Pelodiscus sinensis: one gene and its partner. The protein of the gene in region 2 interacts with the protein of the main gene of each other region in a pairwise test. Links are inferred from orthologs where the notes say so. Each region holds a gene or a part of one and is shown on either strand. Other genes may lie near its edges.

Region 1 (7,870 bases), on a different chromosome or scaffold from region 2:
AAGACACCCTGTTTGTTAGAATCTGATTTAACATGTGTTTCTAATGTACCCCACACTTTTTATTGATTTAAATGGGAGTATGCAAGGTCAGAACTTTATTTTTAAATATGGTATTTTTAACACAGATCACCTTAAAGGAGTACCTAAACATCTACAACTATATTTGACACGGAAAGTAAAAATCAAAAATTTAAGCTTTTTACTACAAAGAAAATGCATGTAAGCCAACAATTTAATGCAAAGTTGGACTTTCCAAAGTGTGGGTCATGATTTCCATTGTAACACTACACAGAGCTCTTAATCTTCCATAAAGCATACAGCAAATGGTAACTAGATACTTTTCTAGTCCAGCAGAGCACTTAAAGCAAGTGAGTTATAAATAAGTAAATATCTGTTTCTCAGATGAAAGGAGACAGGTATAATTAATCCCATGTTACAAATAGAGAAATAGGTGAATTAACTTCCCGAAAGTCACACAGTGATCCCCAGGAAGAGAACTGCAGGTTTCCTGACTTCTACTCCAGTATTAGAGCATCTATGCCACACTGCCAGTAAAGTCAATGAAACTATTTGCATGTTTAAAGTATGGTCTTAAGAGATTTAAAAAATTAAGTCTTAAATTAAGAACTTGGAATGATATTTATATTTTGATGCTGACATTTGTGCCCTTTATTATAAATCAAGGCAGGTTAATATCTAAAATTGAAGATATTCATAGTAATAGACTAAAGATAAAGAAGCACCAATGTTAGCTATAGTAAAAAGAAAATAAACTCAGAAGACACACTATTCTATTTCACTAAAAAATGTGATTATCTGTCTCATTTCTCAGATATTTTCAATAATTTAAGACCATTCATTATAACTTTTTGTACTCACTAATTTATACACTTTCAAGTTTTCTGCAATTTTTGGCAGCAGTATTAGGAAAATGTCAAAAATATAATTTTATTATCTGCTACCCTGGAGATTGTGGGTTTGGATCAAGAAATTTCTGATGCTCCAACAGTCATTAGTTTTCTGTCCTGCAATATAACCTGAGATTAAAGTATGCTACATGCACAATTAACATTTTTTAAATACATTTTAAACCTCGTCTGTACACAAGTTGTATCACTTTGACTATCCACGTACACAACACTGCATGTGGACCCAGTTAAGCTATGCCAGTGTACTATTCAATAGAACTATTCTCATATAGGTATTATTTCCAAACTTTTTATTTTTATATATATATATATATATATATATATATATATATATATATATATATATATATATAGGTAGAACTGCGGGTCTATTGTTAGAACTCCTTCACATTAAAACACAAAACAAACCTTAATAATACCAGAATACCAGTTTGGTTTTGTACAGACCCAACCTTGAAAATGAAAGCATAACAAACTGTAGACTGAGTGAGCTATAACTAGAGATCAGTGTACAAGAGGGGTTTTTTTTTTTTTAAATAAATGGGATATTTTAAATTAGATCATCCTTTTACAAAAGTGAAACTGGACTTCCAAAAACAAAGATACCCTGTAAAAATGCTAATTGAGAGACTATTTCAAACAGGGTACCTTTATTATTACCGTGTATATGTAGTAAAATAGTGGCCAAACACCCCCTTCATGTTTTGGGGCTGAATTGTCAGAGGCTGTGCAAATATGTAGGAAGCCATGCTCCATGTCTCAAATTACTTATAATATAAACAGAAAGAAGCTGCCACAAAAATAACATAAGGCAGAATGGGAAGGAGAGAAAGTGTAGGCCTAATAAAACCAACCACTACCTAACTTAGCTATAAGCACAACTTGTAATTTCAGAGCCATTTCAAATACAGCATTCCCAGCCACTATTTAAGATAACCATCATTAACTGGCAGAGTTCTTGTGGGTGTCAAGGCAAAAGAGGAATTCAAGATGGGATTTGTGAACTATGCAGTTGGCGTCTTTGTTGATTTACATGGGCGCCTAATGACTCATTTCTGTCCATCTGTATATCGCTCAAGTGTTGAGAGTGTAAGCTCCTTGGGGCAGGCACCATGTCCGCTTTTCTATCCCGCCCAGCGAGAGGCAAGCTCGTTGCTGATGGCGGCTTGCGCTACAGAGCAAGACAAACCCCACGATCCTGCGCGCGGGGAGGGGGAGGGGGCTCTTTGGCCTGACCCTCCGTAACGCAACTTCGGCCAGGGGCCGAGCAAGCGGCAAACGTTGCGGCATTAGAGCGCGCGGCAGGCGGCGCCCGATGCAGCCCGCTACGGGGTGTCGGTCGCTGCGGGGCGGTTGGCTCGGCAGGGAGGCGGCTCCCGAGGCGCCGGGGGAGCTCCCCTCCCGGGCCGGGGCACGCGGCGAGCAGAGGCAGGCAGCTGCTGTCTTAGCTCAGCCAGACACGGCTGCGGGCCAGGCTGGGCCACAGCGACCGCACCCGCCTCCCAGCCCGGGGGGAGGGGGACACAGAGCAGCGCCCCCGCCAGCCTTGGCCCGACTCTATCGGAATCTTCGCCAAGGCCCTTTAAATACTCCCCCCCCCCGCCCGAACAGCTGCTACCCGTCCCCCTCCCGTCGCGCCGCCTCCCTCTCGGCGCGCGCCGCCTCCCGCCCGCTCCCACAAAGGCAACGGTTAGTCGGCGGCTGTTCCAGAAATTTCCTCGCTCCCCCCTCCCTTCCCCGCGCCTGCCCGCCGCCGCCCCTATCCACCCCCCCGGGTTGGGTATAGCGCGGGTGCCTCCCTCCCCGCTGCTCCGTGTGGCGGGCTCTCGCTCCCCCCGCCATCCCCGGTCTGCCTGTGTGTCTGGGCCCGGCCGGCCGGCGGCGGCGGGCGCGCCGTGATGGATGGCTGGCTGGGAGCGGGTTTGAGTGACAGCGCTTACCTGGGTGCCAATCTTCGTCACACTGACAAGCGGCTGCAGCAATCGGGACCCGCACCGCCGCGACACGCGTCACTACGCACACACGCACCCGGCCAATCACCGCCCGCGCCACACAATACGACAGCACGCTGCGCAGCACGCCTCATGAATATTCACAAAAGAGGCGGGGCGCGCGCCGGCGCAGGACACTCCCGCCCTGACGCTCGCCCTAAGGGGGCGGTGCGGTGCGTCGCATCTTGATGAATATTCATAAGGGGCGGGGCGGACGCGTTGTTTGTCACGCCCCTTTGCCCGCCTTTCTGTTTGGTCGGGGTGAGAGGAAGAGGGAGGTGAAACCAACTCCCAAGGGCAGCGGGGGAACGAAGATACCAACTAGGGGCGAGGGGGAGGGGACAGAGCCTGGCTGTCCCTTATAGTTCTGCCCTGAGCTGCGGAGGGAGACCTGGCACATGCGCCACCTGCTCTGCTGCCCGGCTGCCAGGGGGCCCCTCCCTCCAGCCCCTGGCAGCTACGGTGTTCCCAGGCCACCGTGTGTGTGGCTTTGTCACCCCCTGCGTCCCAGTCGCTGCCTTGAGCCCACCATGCGAAGCCCCGTGGTGCTCGCCCCACCCCGACTAGCCAGGGATGCAAATAAAGGCAGAGGCAAAGAGGCACAAGCAGGGCATGTCTAAGCAGTGGGTGTTACACAACCCCCCTGCAGGCAGGCCGGGGGAAAGTCCCTGCCAGCTGAGCTAGTGACATTGGCATCAGGTAAATGAGTGTCTATGCAATACACAGGCCTGACCCATAGTCCTTCAGTGCAATCCACTTCTCCCCACCTGTCAAAGTTTTGTTTTGTCCTAACCTGCTACCAATGGCCCCAAGTTGGTCTAGGTTGAATATTAGAAAAAACTATTTCACTAGGAGGGTGGTGAAGTACTGGAATGGGTTCCCTAGGGAGGTGGTGGAATCTCTACCCCTAGACGTTTGTAAGTCTCGACTTGGCAAAGCCCTGAGTTGGTTGATTTAGTTGGGATTGGTCATGGCTTGGGCAGGGGATGGACTTTCTAACCTCCTGAGGTTTTAGCTCTATGATTCTAAGGCCATCCCCACAGAGGTGCTCCCCATGGCTCTGCCCAGGCCCTGCCCCGACCACCCCACCCACAACTGTTTTTTGTCCATGTAGGAAGTATTTAAATTACATCTCCACAGCTGCAGCACCTTTGCTGTCCTAATGTGGCATAGATAATGCCCCAAGTGAACTCCCTGTCTTGACGCTTCTCTATAGCAGTGGTCTCCAAACTTTTTTGATCGCGCAATCCTATCAGTAAAAAAAATTTTGAGCATACATCCCCAATATATGTATATTTATTTATAATTTTTTTAAAAATGTACTCTTTGACCCCCCATTAGCCACACACCTGACCCCTGTTAACCATGCCTCTGGCTCCCATTAGAAGGCCTCAGGAGGTCTGAGGGACACATGACCAGAAGTAAAAGGTGTCATGTGACCCCTCTCTAAGGACTTTTCCCACCATCCTCCTACCAATAGGGATTACTTTGGCTCCCACCAAACTCCCCTCATGCAAGTATCCTCGGAGGTGGAGGGGGCAGAGAGGCTGGGGGAAGTGTCCCCTCAGAGTTTCCTTCCATGAACAGAATGAATTTTGTGTTGTGCACCAGTACTGAGTTCATGTGGCTTGTTTGGATGTGCCACTGTGGCATCCAAGTTATTAATACATATCATATAAACCTCTACCTTTTCCCTCTGCTGTCATGTCTCCTCCCCTTGCTCCATCAGCTCCCCTAATGCCCCCTCACCCTACTCTACTGTCCTGACTCCTGCCCTTCTCGCTACCCTCAGCCCTCCTGTGACCTGCCCCCCCTCCACCAGCCCTTCTCTCTGCCCTGTGCCCCACTCTGATCAAGTGAGCTACCTCCCTCTACACACCTGCCCTGCCTCTCTCTGGTGCTGGCCTTGTCCCTCCCCTGCAAGTGTCTGCCCTTCTGCTTCACCCCTAGAATCCCCTGGCACCTGCACCCTCCTGGTGCATCCCTCTTCCCTCACTGCCCCTGCCCCCTTTGCCTTCTTTTTCCGTGATGCCCATCCCCTCACCACCCTCTGCCCGTTCGCCTCATGCCCCTGTGCCCTCACACATGCCTTGCTCCATCCCCACCTTCCTCATGCCCACCCCTTCTTTCAAGCCTTCTCCCAGCACCTCCCTCTCCCCCCTCTAGCTCCCAATGCCCTTACCCTCCCCCCTCCCACTGACACCTCCCCTCCTGCCCTCTTTTTCATTGTCTCCACTTGGCCCCCTGGAAATTGTCTCTCCTCCACGCTGTCCCTTGGTGCATTCCCCTTTCTTCTCCTGACCTGCCCCCCTCCCCTCAGCACAAGCCCCTTCGTCTCCCACCCCTTTTCCCTATTTTTCCCCACACCCCCACCTTCTGCTTTTCAGTTTGAGTCTGATCGGGCCAAGCCCCAGCTGCTTCCGTGGCCCCAGACCACGTGCCGGGCCTGGAGCTGGGCCGTGCAGTTTTAAAGTCCCGGGCTGTGATATCACGACACGCCCAGGCGTGTCCCCTCAGCTGTTGCACGGGCGTTTGAACACACCATGCATGCGCTCCCTCAGATGTCTTGCAAACCAGGCGTCTCCCCTCTCAGCTGTTGCGCGGTGGCATGCGCTCCCTCGGATTGTCTCGCACACCCCCTGGGGTGCGTGCATCCCATTTTGGAGACCACTGCTCTATAGATTCAGATCCATGTGAAGTTAGAGGCTCTGAATGTGAAAGAATTAACAAACCTGGCAGAAACAGTAAGGAAGAATTAGTATTGGTAGCCCCAACTGTTCAAATATCATGAGTCAGGTAACCACACTAATAATATTGTCTAAAATGATAAGTTTTTATTAAGTAGTAGTAATACATTTTTATTTCTTTTGTTTGCCTTCTTACCTTTGAGCCTTTAGGATTCATGTCAAGCTTTACTCTGTAATCACTGGTGGCCTAGAAACTTGCTCTTTTTAAATGAAAGCTGACTCCACAAGATAAAGCTTTTAAAAAACCACCAAAATACCAAGAGCTTTGCATTAAAATTGCAAGGAGTGACAACAGTTAGAAGGAACAGAGGAGAAAACAAGGAAAAATAATAGAAAAATGTAGAAAATTAATTAGAGGAAAGATACACTTTTTTCGAGTGTCACCCCTAGCTGCCAAGCCTTCATGCTCCTCCTTCCCAGCACTACAAAGGATCCAGGACAGGGAGAATTATACAGAGGAGACCCACAATGAGGGGGCTCGGTGGACTGCTTTTGCACCCTGTATAGTTTCATAACTATGTGAGCACACAGTATAAACCAATGGTGAGATCTGATATGCAAGACTCCTCTTTTGACTTACAAAACATGCAAAGTGAATACAAACCTTTTTTGAATAAAATAGCTGTCAGTCCAGGGCAACAGCACCTGTACTCCCCGTCCTTGGCACCAGGCTCCACAGCTGTCAATTCTCTTGGGTGAAAACTGCATTCTCTCTCCCATCTGACTCTGACATTTCCAGGCTGAACAATTGCCTACCTCCACTGTGTTAATACCCCAAAAGATAGACTGCCTAAGTAGGCATGCATCTCTGCTCAGAGACAGCAACAGTATAGTTACTCACAATTAGAAGTTACCACACAGTTCTAAGTGAGCACATTTATTTATTTTTAGACTAAAAGCACTACAGACAGTCTATTAAGAACAATAAAAGAACCTACACTTATGCTAGTAAACTTACCAGAAATTGCTCCAACCCCAGCAGGCTGGCCTGTGACTGGTGATTAGTCCTTCAAACCCTACCAGTTGGTAACAGCTTTCTCTCAGATCTAGCTTGTATATCTAATAGGGCCTCAGTGGGCCAAAGACTTTCCAACCCTTTCCTAAAAATTAGGGCCCTGTGATAGGGCATCTGCCCTGCACTGGCCCTTAAAGGGCAAAACCCAGCCCTAAGCCAGGGCTGAGAGTGAAGCCCTAGCTGAGGTAGTTATTGCTAATTAGAGCTATAAAGAAGGGATCCTGGAAGGAGAAAGGAGGACTTACTTATGTTAACTCTGGCTAGAGTGACCTGGCTGCCTGGGAAGCAGGAGGCTTCCTGGAGATATACCAGTGCTGGGGAAAGAAGGCAGAGCAGGGGAAGCTCTGGTGTGGCAAGCTCCTAGGCTGCAGGGCCTGAGGCTAGACCGGAGTGCAGGAAGGCTGCAGAGAGCCAGCTAAGGTAGGCAAAGGCAGCAGGTCCCTGGAGTGCAGAGATTGATAACCACCCCGCTGCTCCCCAGAAGGGAGTTGAGAGCCAATGGACTGGGTATGTCTGGAGGGCATTGTCCTGAAGAAGACACTGCAGTCCAAGACTGTTGCGGGTTGGGCCTGGAGAGTGAAGCGATGACACGGGGAGGCAGACAAAAGCTAATCCCCAGTGCCACAGCAGTGAGGCCACGCTGTAACAGGCTCCACTTGAAACAGAAGTTCTATCTGTTTGCTGGATCAGAGTGAATAACCCAAGTCACTTTAGCTCAGGCTATGTAACCAAAAATCCTTTTTCTCTGTGTGTTGGAAAGTTCCAGAGAATTCAGTTTGAATCAGTATATGCAAGTCTCTTTCCAGGCAGGAGCAGCTCTCTAGAGTTTTTACAAGCTGAATTAATAATGCCTGCCCTCTTTCTCTCTCACCCCCACTGTGCTTAGTTCCTGGAATACTGTGGTCCCCATGCGTCCCTACAGAAATATATACAATCTCTTAATAGTGAATACATTTTTGCATTTTTAATCCAATGAACTGTTAACATACCTAAACTTAATTCAATAAAGTTTGCCCAAGATATTGCAGGATATTGTCACAGCTGCCATAGTGTTTAATGCTTGCAATTACAATTTGCAGAAAGCTTAACATTACTGGCAATACTAGAGTCTTCCAGTTACAAGTAATTAAATACTAAGCTTCTCATACTAATTTTAACCTTTTTCACGCTGCACATATTGAGTACAAT
Region 2 (7,643 bases):
ATAAATGACCCTCTGAACGTAAATGTACATAAGATAAACGTATTCTATACAAGGTATATCCGTATGTATCTGAACATGTGTGGACATATTTATACACATATTATACACACCCCTCTTTGAGCATTTCTTAAGCCTACAGTTAATTTCCCACATATAGTGTACTAGTTTGGATCTGTCAACTGAATGCGTCCAATAACATATATTCTGCTAATTGCACAGATAAACAATGAGGTGACCCGAGTCAAACAAAGTTGCCGGCTGTGCGGTTCCTACGCTGCAATTGGCTTCTCCAATCTCACATTGCTCCTTTAAGAAACTGACATACAAACAAGGCAGAGAGAGGGGGAGACAGCCTGGTTTGCTCCGTGTTGCTTCCCTGATTGCAGCCAGAGGGGGAATTTACTCTGCGGACGGTGACACACGATCATTTTCATCTACATTTCATTTTACATCGGGATTATGAATTGTAAAATTTGCTCCAGATTTATTGCATTCTCCCCCCTCCCCTCCCCAAGATCAGAAGCAGGCAAGGAAGCAAGGATCAAAGATGGCTGCGGTGCCCACATCAGCTCCCAGGCTTGCAGAATTGAGAAGTATTGCAATGCTGACCTGTGTGGGGTGCAATTGAAAACCCTGCTCCTCCTGGCCTCTTACCTGTTTTCTCTTTGATTTCGCACAGGACACTGAATAGAGCAGGCTTCATTCTGTGGCAGTTCAGTGCATGCTTTCTGGAAAAGAGGGTGGGAAAACAACAAATGCATTAGCAGAAGCTATTTGATAATATGGCGCCTTTCCACAATAAAATGATTTAGTTGTGCCCCTGCATTGTACTGTTCAGCTATTCCATGCAAAGTAATAGGAAGTAAAGTTAATGACAAGTGACAAGGAATCTTTGGCTACAGCTTTTTGGCTGTGAGGGGGAGGAGGGGAAGCACATATTTGCCCTATAGGCGACCAGACAACCTAATCATACTGTGTGCAAAGTAGCAAACATTAAGAAGCAATGTGAGGAGATTTAAATTCAGGGACAAGAGGAGCAAATAAAAGGGTGTTTCAAATGCCTTCTCTCATTTGTCACCAAAGCAGGGACTTGTGGTGACAAGTCAGAATCCAGGGAGCCCCCGCCTGCCTACCACTTTGCAGACTTGAGACGCTCGCAGAAGTTTGGTTTTAAAGCCATGTTACAAGGGGTTTTTTTTCCACCTGTTTAAGTCAAATTCGCTGTATGTAATTTCCCTGATAGACCAGGCTTTGATGTATACAGCGATCTCGACTGCTTTCCATTCCTCTACATTAGAGCGGATTTGCTAAAAGGGTAACTTCCAGAGTTCACATTCTTTGTTTTGTATTTACTGTGATTTCAAACACGGAGGGATTTCTCCCTGAAGCAATATCTTGTCAGCTTTGTAATTCATCTGCCACCACTTCAGGGGCAGGAGAGAAGGAAAGAAAAAAAGTTACACTTCTGAACAAGAAATCAAAAGTCTCCCGAAGAGCAAATATTGCGGGATGGCGATTTTTAAATGAGTGTCAACCAGATAGTGTCTATAGAGATGGAAATGAAAATGGGACTACATGCATTCCACGCATAGGTGCAAATAAAATGGAACAGAAAAAAATGGTACAAGCATCACATATTTATATTTTACAAATAATTAACAGCAACTTTGATTTTTGCCTTTGCTGCTTGAAATTTCTCCTACTGTATTAAGAAGTTGTTCTAATTGTGAGACTCCTGGTCTCTGCAGAGAAGCAGGAGGGAGAGAAACAAAAACCACACACACAAAAAGACAAGGTTTAATTAGACGAAACCAACTTTGCTTGTGCCTCATCCAGGCTTTGGTCAGTGATGGTCATGATCTGATGGAGGATGTCTCCGATGTCCTGCTTTCTGCCGTCGCCGTCTGCCCCTTCATGTCCATGGGGAGGAGGCAGAGCCATCCCCCCCTGCACCGAGTGGCCAGCCAGGTTCACACCGGCCAGAGTCTGCAACATCCTGGACTGATCATCCATACCTCCTACCGCAGCCCAATCAATGCACTTTCAGAGATAGCAGCAGGAGAAACGGCAAAAAGAGCCTCACAATCAGAGGAAGGAGGTTTGTGCTTAGAAAATAAAATGCGAATAAATCTGTGGTTCCCGTAGTCAATTTCAGTTCCTGCTTGCTGTTATTTTACTCTCGCAAATTAACAAAAAAAATCAGTATTTAGTATTTCACCGGATCTCAGTTGTTTATTCCACGCTCTTCTTTCCAATGCAGTAAATCACTCTCTTCTTTAGTTACAATCTTCTTTCATCATAACAATGATATTTCTGGCTCGGATAATGAGTTGATAAGGTTTTTTGCAGTTTTCTCCCCTCGGTACAATCTTCCTCCAAAGCTTTTTCCCCCCTCTCTTCTTTTTTATTTTTATTGTTGCTTTTTATGTCTTTCCTCCACTTGTCCAAAAAATAATCTTCTTCGCAAAAAAAGGCAAAATTAAAAAAAACACACACACAAAAACTTGCTTTCAAATCCTTAAAAAGTTAGGAGGGTGGCAAACAGCAAAAACCACAACAAACCAAGCAAACACCCCCATCCCCAAATTGCAACATTAAAAAAAGCCCAAGAAAACACAAACACAGATGAAAAAAATTAATTGCCCTCCCCCAAAAAATAATAACAAATGATCCCAAGTCTGTACAATGGGGGTAAAATTGCAGCTATCAAAAGTTTGAACTTGTGCAAAGAAAAGAGCGGAAATAAAGGGGAAAGAACTGTAAAAAAATTAATTACACACTCTCTGCAAAGCAATGTGCAAAAATATCAGCCAGCTGGAATTTATGAGCCCAGCAGCCCAGTGACTGTGTGTGTTTTATGTTGTTTGATGGCCGCTTTGGTGAGGGATTGACAGTCTGCCAATGCCACTCACTCACCCTGCAGACGTGTCACCCTGTGAAGGAGGAGAGAGGCAGAGAGAGAGCGCGAGCGAGGGGACGTGGGAGCCAGGCGGAGCCACGCCCCCTGCCCTCCCCTTCCCCCTCCCCTTCGGAGAGCGCGAGCAAGCGCGCGCGGGGAGCTCGGCTGAGGCGCTCCCCCTGCTGCTCCTGGGAGAGACCCGGGCGCCCAGCCGGAGCCCCGCCCCCGCCCCGCCCCTCTGCCCCGCCTGTCACCTGCACACCCCTCCCCCACTGACCCCTGCCCAGACCTGCCTACCCTTCCCCCCACCAAGCCCCTCCTCTCCCCTGCCCCACACCCCCCTGACCCCCTCCTCTCACCTACCCCCCCACTGACCCCCTCTCCCCTGCCCCACACCCCCCTGACCCCCTCCTCTCACCTACCCCACGCCCCCACTGACCCCCTCCTCTCCCCTGCCCCCCACTGACTCCCTCTCCCCTGCCCCACACCCCCCTGACCCCCTCCTCTCACTTGCCCCACGCCCCCTGACCCTCTCCTCTCCCCTGCCCCCCACTGACCCCCCTCTCCCCTGCCCCACACTCCCACTGACCCCCTCCTCTCACCTGCCCCACGCCCCCCTGACCCCCTCCTCTCCCCTGCCCCCCACTGACCCCCTCTCTCCTGCCCCACACCCCCACTGACCCCCTCCTCTCACCTGCCCCCCCACTGATCCCCTCTCCCCTGCCCCACACCCCCCCGACCCCCTCCTCTCACCTGCCCCCCCACTGATCCCCTCTCCCCTGCCCCACACCCCCCCTGACCTCCTCCTCTCACCTGCCTCACGCCCCCCCTGACCCCCTCCTCTCACCTGCCCCACACCCCCATTGACCCCCTCCTCTCACCTGCCCACCACTCCCCCCTCTGATCCCCTCCTGTCACCTGCCTAACACCCCAACTGAACCCCTCTTCTCAACTGCCCCCACACCTCCACTGACTCCCTCCTGTCATCTGCCCCACACCCCCCACTGACCTCCTCCACTCGCCTGCCCCCACACCTCCCTCAGACCTGCCTACCCTTCCCCCCACCAACCATCACCTCCCACCTACTCCCACCCCCTACTAATTCCCTCCTGTCACCTGCCCAGCACTCCCCCCTCTGACTCCCTCCTCTCACCTGCCCCCATAACCCCCACTGAACCCCTCCTCTCACCTGCCCTCACACCTCCACTGACTCCCTCCTGTCATCTGCCCCACATCCCGCACTCACCCCCTCCACTCGCCTGCCTCCACACCTCCCTCAGACCTGCCTACCCTTCCCCCACCAACCATCACTTCTCACCTACCCCCACAACCCCTACTGACCCCCTCCTGTCACCTGCCCCCATATCCCACACTGACCCCGTCCTGTCACCTGCCCCCATATCCCACACTGACCCCCTCCTCTCACCTGCCTCCACACCCCCTACTGACCCCATCCTCTTACTGCCCTCCACTCCCCCCACTGACCTCCTCCTGTCACCCCACCATACCCCCCTCTAATCTCTCCTGTCCCCTGCCCCTACATCCCCCACTGACCCCCTCCTCTCACCTGCCCTCCACTCCCCCCACTGATCCCCTCCTGGCACCTGCCTCCACACCCCATCCCCCCGCTGACTCCATCCTGTCACCTGCCCACCATTCCTTCACTGACCCCTCCTCAGATCTGCCTACCCTTCCCCCCACCAACCATCACCTCTCACCTACTCCCACCCCCCCACTGATCCCCTCCTGTCACCTGCCCACCACTCCCCCCTCTGACTCCCTCCTCTCACCTGACCCCATAACCCCCACTGAACCCCTCCTCTCACCCGCCCCCCACACACCCCACTGACCCCCTCCTCTCACCTGCCCCCCACACCTCCACTGATCCCCTCCTCTCACCTGCCCCCCACACCTCCACTGACCCCCTCCTGTCACCTGCCCCCCCCACTCCTCTGACCCCCTCCTGTCACCTGCCCCCACTCCCTCCACTGACCCCCTCCTCTCACCCGCCCCCCACAACCTCCACTGACCCCCTCCTCTCACCTGCCCCCCACACCCCCCACTGACCCCCTCCTCTCACCTGCCCCCACTCCCCCCACTGACCCCCTCCTCTCACCCACCCCCCACACCCCGCACTGACCCCCTCCTCTCACCTGCCCCCACTCCCTCCACTGACCCCCTCCTCTCACCCGCCCCCCACACCCCCCACTGACCCCCTCCTCTCACCTGCCCCCACTCCCTCCACTGACCCCCTCCTCTCACCTGCCCCCCACACCCCGCACTGACCCCCTCCTCTCACCCGCCCCCCACACCCCGCACTGACCCCCTCCACTCGCCTGCCTCCACACCTCCCTCAGACCTGCCTACCCTTCCCCCACCAACCATCACTTCTCACCTACCCCCACAACCCCTACTGACCCCCTCCTCTCACCTGCCCCCCACACCTCCACTGACCCCCTCCTCTCACCTGCCCCCCACACCTCCACTGACCCCCTCCTCTCACCTGCCCCCACTCCCTCCACTGACCCCCTCCTCTCACCTGCCCCCACTCCCCCCACTGACCCCCTCCTCTCACCCGCCCCCCACACCCCGCACTGACCCCCTCCTCTCACCTGCCCCCACACCCCCCACTGACCCCCTCCTCTCACCCGCCCCCCCACACCCCCCACTGACCCCCTCCTCTCACCCGCCCCCCACACCCCGCACTGACCCCCTCCTCTCACCCGCCCCCCACACCCCGCACTGACCCCCTCCTCTCACCTGCCCCCACACCCCCCACTGACCCCCTCCTCTCACCCGCCCCCCCACGCCCCCCACTGACCCCCTCCTCTCACCCGCCCCCCCACGCCCCCCACTGACCCCCTCCTCTCACCTGCCCCCACTCCCCCCACTGACCCCCTCCTCTCACCTGCCCCCACACCCCCCACTGACCCCCTCCTCTCACCCGCCCCCCCACGCCCCCCACTGACCCCCTCCTCTCACCCGCCCCCCCACGCCCCCCACTGACCCCCTCCTCTCACCTTCACAGCCCTCTTCCACTGACCTCCTCTTCAGAACTGCCCACCCCTCCCCCTGGGATCCCCTCCTCTCACCTCCCGCCCACTCTCCTCATGGCCCCGCCCACCCCCAGGTAAATCCCACCCGGTCCTCACCACGCCCCTTTCCAAACGCCCCGCCCCTGCCCTGGCCTCAGGCCACGCCCTTATTAGGCCACGCCCTTTGGGGCGTGGCCTCTGTCGAGGCATCTTGGCAGGACTCCAGCTCCTTCCGGGGGTCACCCAGCCGCGCAGCTAGGCCCGACAGCTTGGAGCCTTCGGGGGCGGGATCTCTCCAGCACGCGCGCTTTCTCCGCCCAATGATAGCAGCCCTGCCATCCCACCCGCCAATCAGAGCGGGCGGGGCGGGGCGGGGCGGGGCCCAACGCGCTGTGCGCTCCAGCGCTGCCCCTTCACGGCAAACTTGGGATTGGAGTGTTCGAACCGACACGTGGCAGGGGGCGAGGACCCTGTTGCCCCGCCCCTTCTGTTACCATGGCGACAGTGAAGTACCTGGCGAGGGCTCGCTCCTCACTGGATCGGGCAGCCCGTACCAGTGCCCCGTCCTCGGGCCGTGGGGCGCCCGGGCCCCCCCTCCCCCCCGTCCTCGGGCCGTGGGGCGCCCGGGCCCCCCCTCCCCCCCGTCCTCGGGCCGTGGGGCGCCCGGGCCCCCCCTCCCCCCCGTTCTCGGGCCGTGGGGCGCCCGGTTCCCCCCCTCCCCCCCCGTCCTCGGGCCGTGGGGCGCCCGGTTCCCCCCCTCCCCCCCGTCCTCGGGCCGTGGGGCGCCCGGTTCCCCCCCTCCCCCCCGTTCTCGGGCCGTGGGGCGCCCGGTTCCCCCCCTCCCCCCGTCCTCGGGCCGTGGGGCGCCCGGTTCCCCCCCTCCCCCCCGTCCTCGGGCCGTGGGGCGCCCGGTTCCCCCCCTCCCCCCCGTTCTCGGGCCGTGGGGCGCCCGGTTCCCCCCCTCCCCCCGTCCTCGGGCCGTGGGGCGCCCGGTTCCCCCCTCCCCCCCGTCCTCGGGCCGTGGGGCGCCCGGTTCTCCCCCTCCCCCCCGTCCTCGGGCCGTGGGGCGCCCGGTTCCCCCCTCCCCCCCGTTCTCGGGCCGTGGGGCGCCCGGTTCCCCCCCTCCCCCCCGTTCTCGGGCCGTGGGGCGCCCGGTTCCCCCCCTCCCCCCCCGTCCTCGGGCCGTGGGGCGCCCGGTTCCCCCCTCCCCCCCGTTCTCGGGCCGTGGGGAGCCCGGTTCCCCCCCTCCCCCCCGTCCTCGGGCCGTGGGGCGCCCGGTTCCCCCCTTCCCCCGTCCTCGGGCCGTGGGGCGCCCGGTTCTCCCCCCTCCCCCCCGTCCTCGGGCCGTCCGGTTCCCCCCTCCCCCCCCCCCGACCTCGGCCCGTGGGGTGCCACGCTCCCACTAGCCTCCATCCTTGGGGCTCGGGTCTTGGGGCGCCCAGCTCCCCCCCCCACCCTTGGGGCTTGGGTCATGGGGCTCCCAGCTCCCACCCCCACACCCTTGGGGCTTGGGTCATGGGGCGCCCAGCTCCCCCCCCCACACCCTTGGGACTCGGGTCATGGGGCACCCAGCTTCCACCCCCACACCCTTGGGGCTTGGGTCATGGGGCGCCCAGCTCCCCCCCCACACCCTTGGGGCTCGGGTCATGGGTCGCCCAGCTCCCCCACACACACCCTTGGGGCTTGGGGCACCCAGCTCCCCCCCCACA

Evidence for each region. The genes of interacting proteins can lie anywhere in the genome.
Region 1: the proteins of PBX3 (region 2) and PKNOX1 interact in a two-hybrid assay, tested with the Homo sapiens proteins (2 studies listed by BioGRID and IntAct). The link is inferred for Pelodiscus sinensis from reciprocal best matches to the Homo sapiens genes PBX3 and PKNOX1.

The regions. Positions count from the first base shown.
Region 1 is NC_134711.1:190,864,851-190,872,720, reverse strand, and holds the start of PKNOX1 (homeobox protein PKNOX1), read right to left. Parts: upstream 3,004-7,870; 5' UTR 2,870-3,003; intron 1-2,869. UniProt on the Homo sapiens protein: Activates transcription in the presence of PBX1A and HOXA1.
Region 2 is NC_134732.1:25,327,558-25,335,200, reverse strand, and holds the start of PBX3 (pre-B-cell leukemia transcription factor 3), read right to left. Parts: upstream 3,003-7,643; 5' UTR 2,014-3,002; coding exon 1,817-2,013; intron 729-1,816; coding exon 655-728; intron 1-654. UniProt on the Homo sapiens protein: Transcriptional activator that binds the sequence 5'-ATCAATCAA-3'.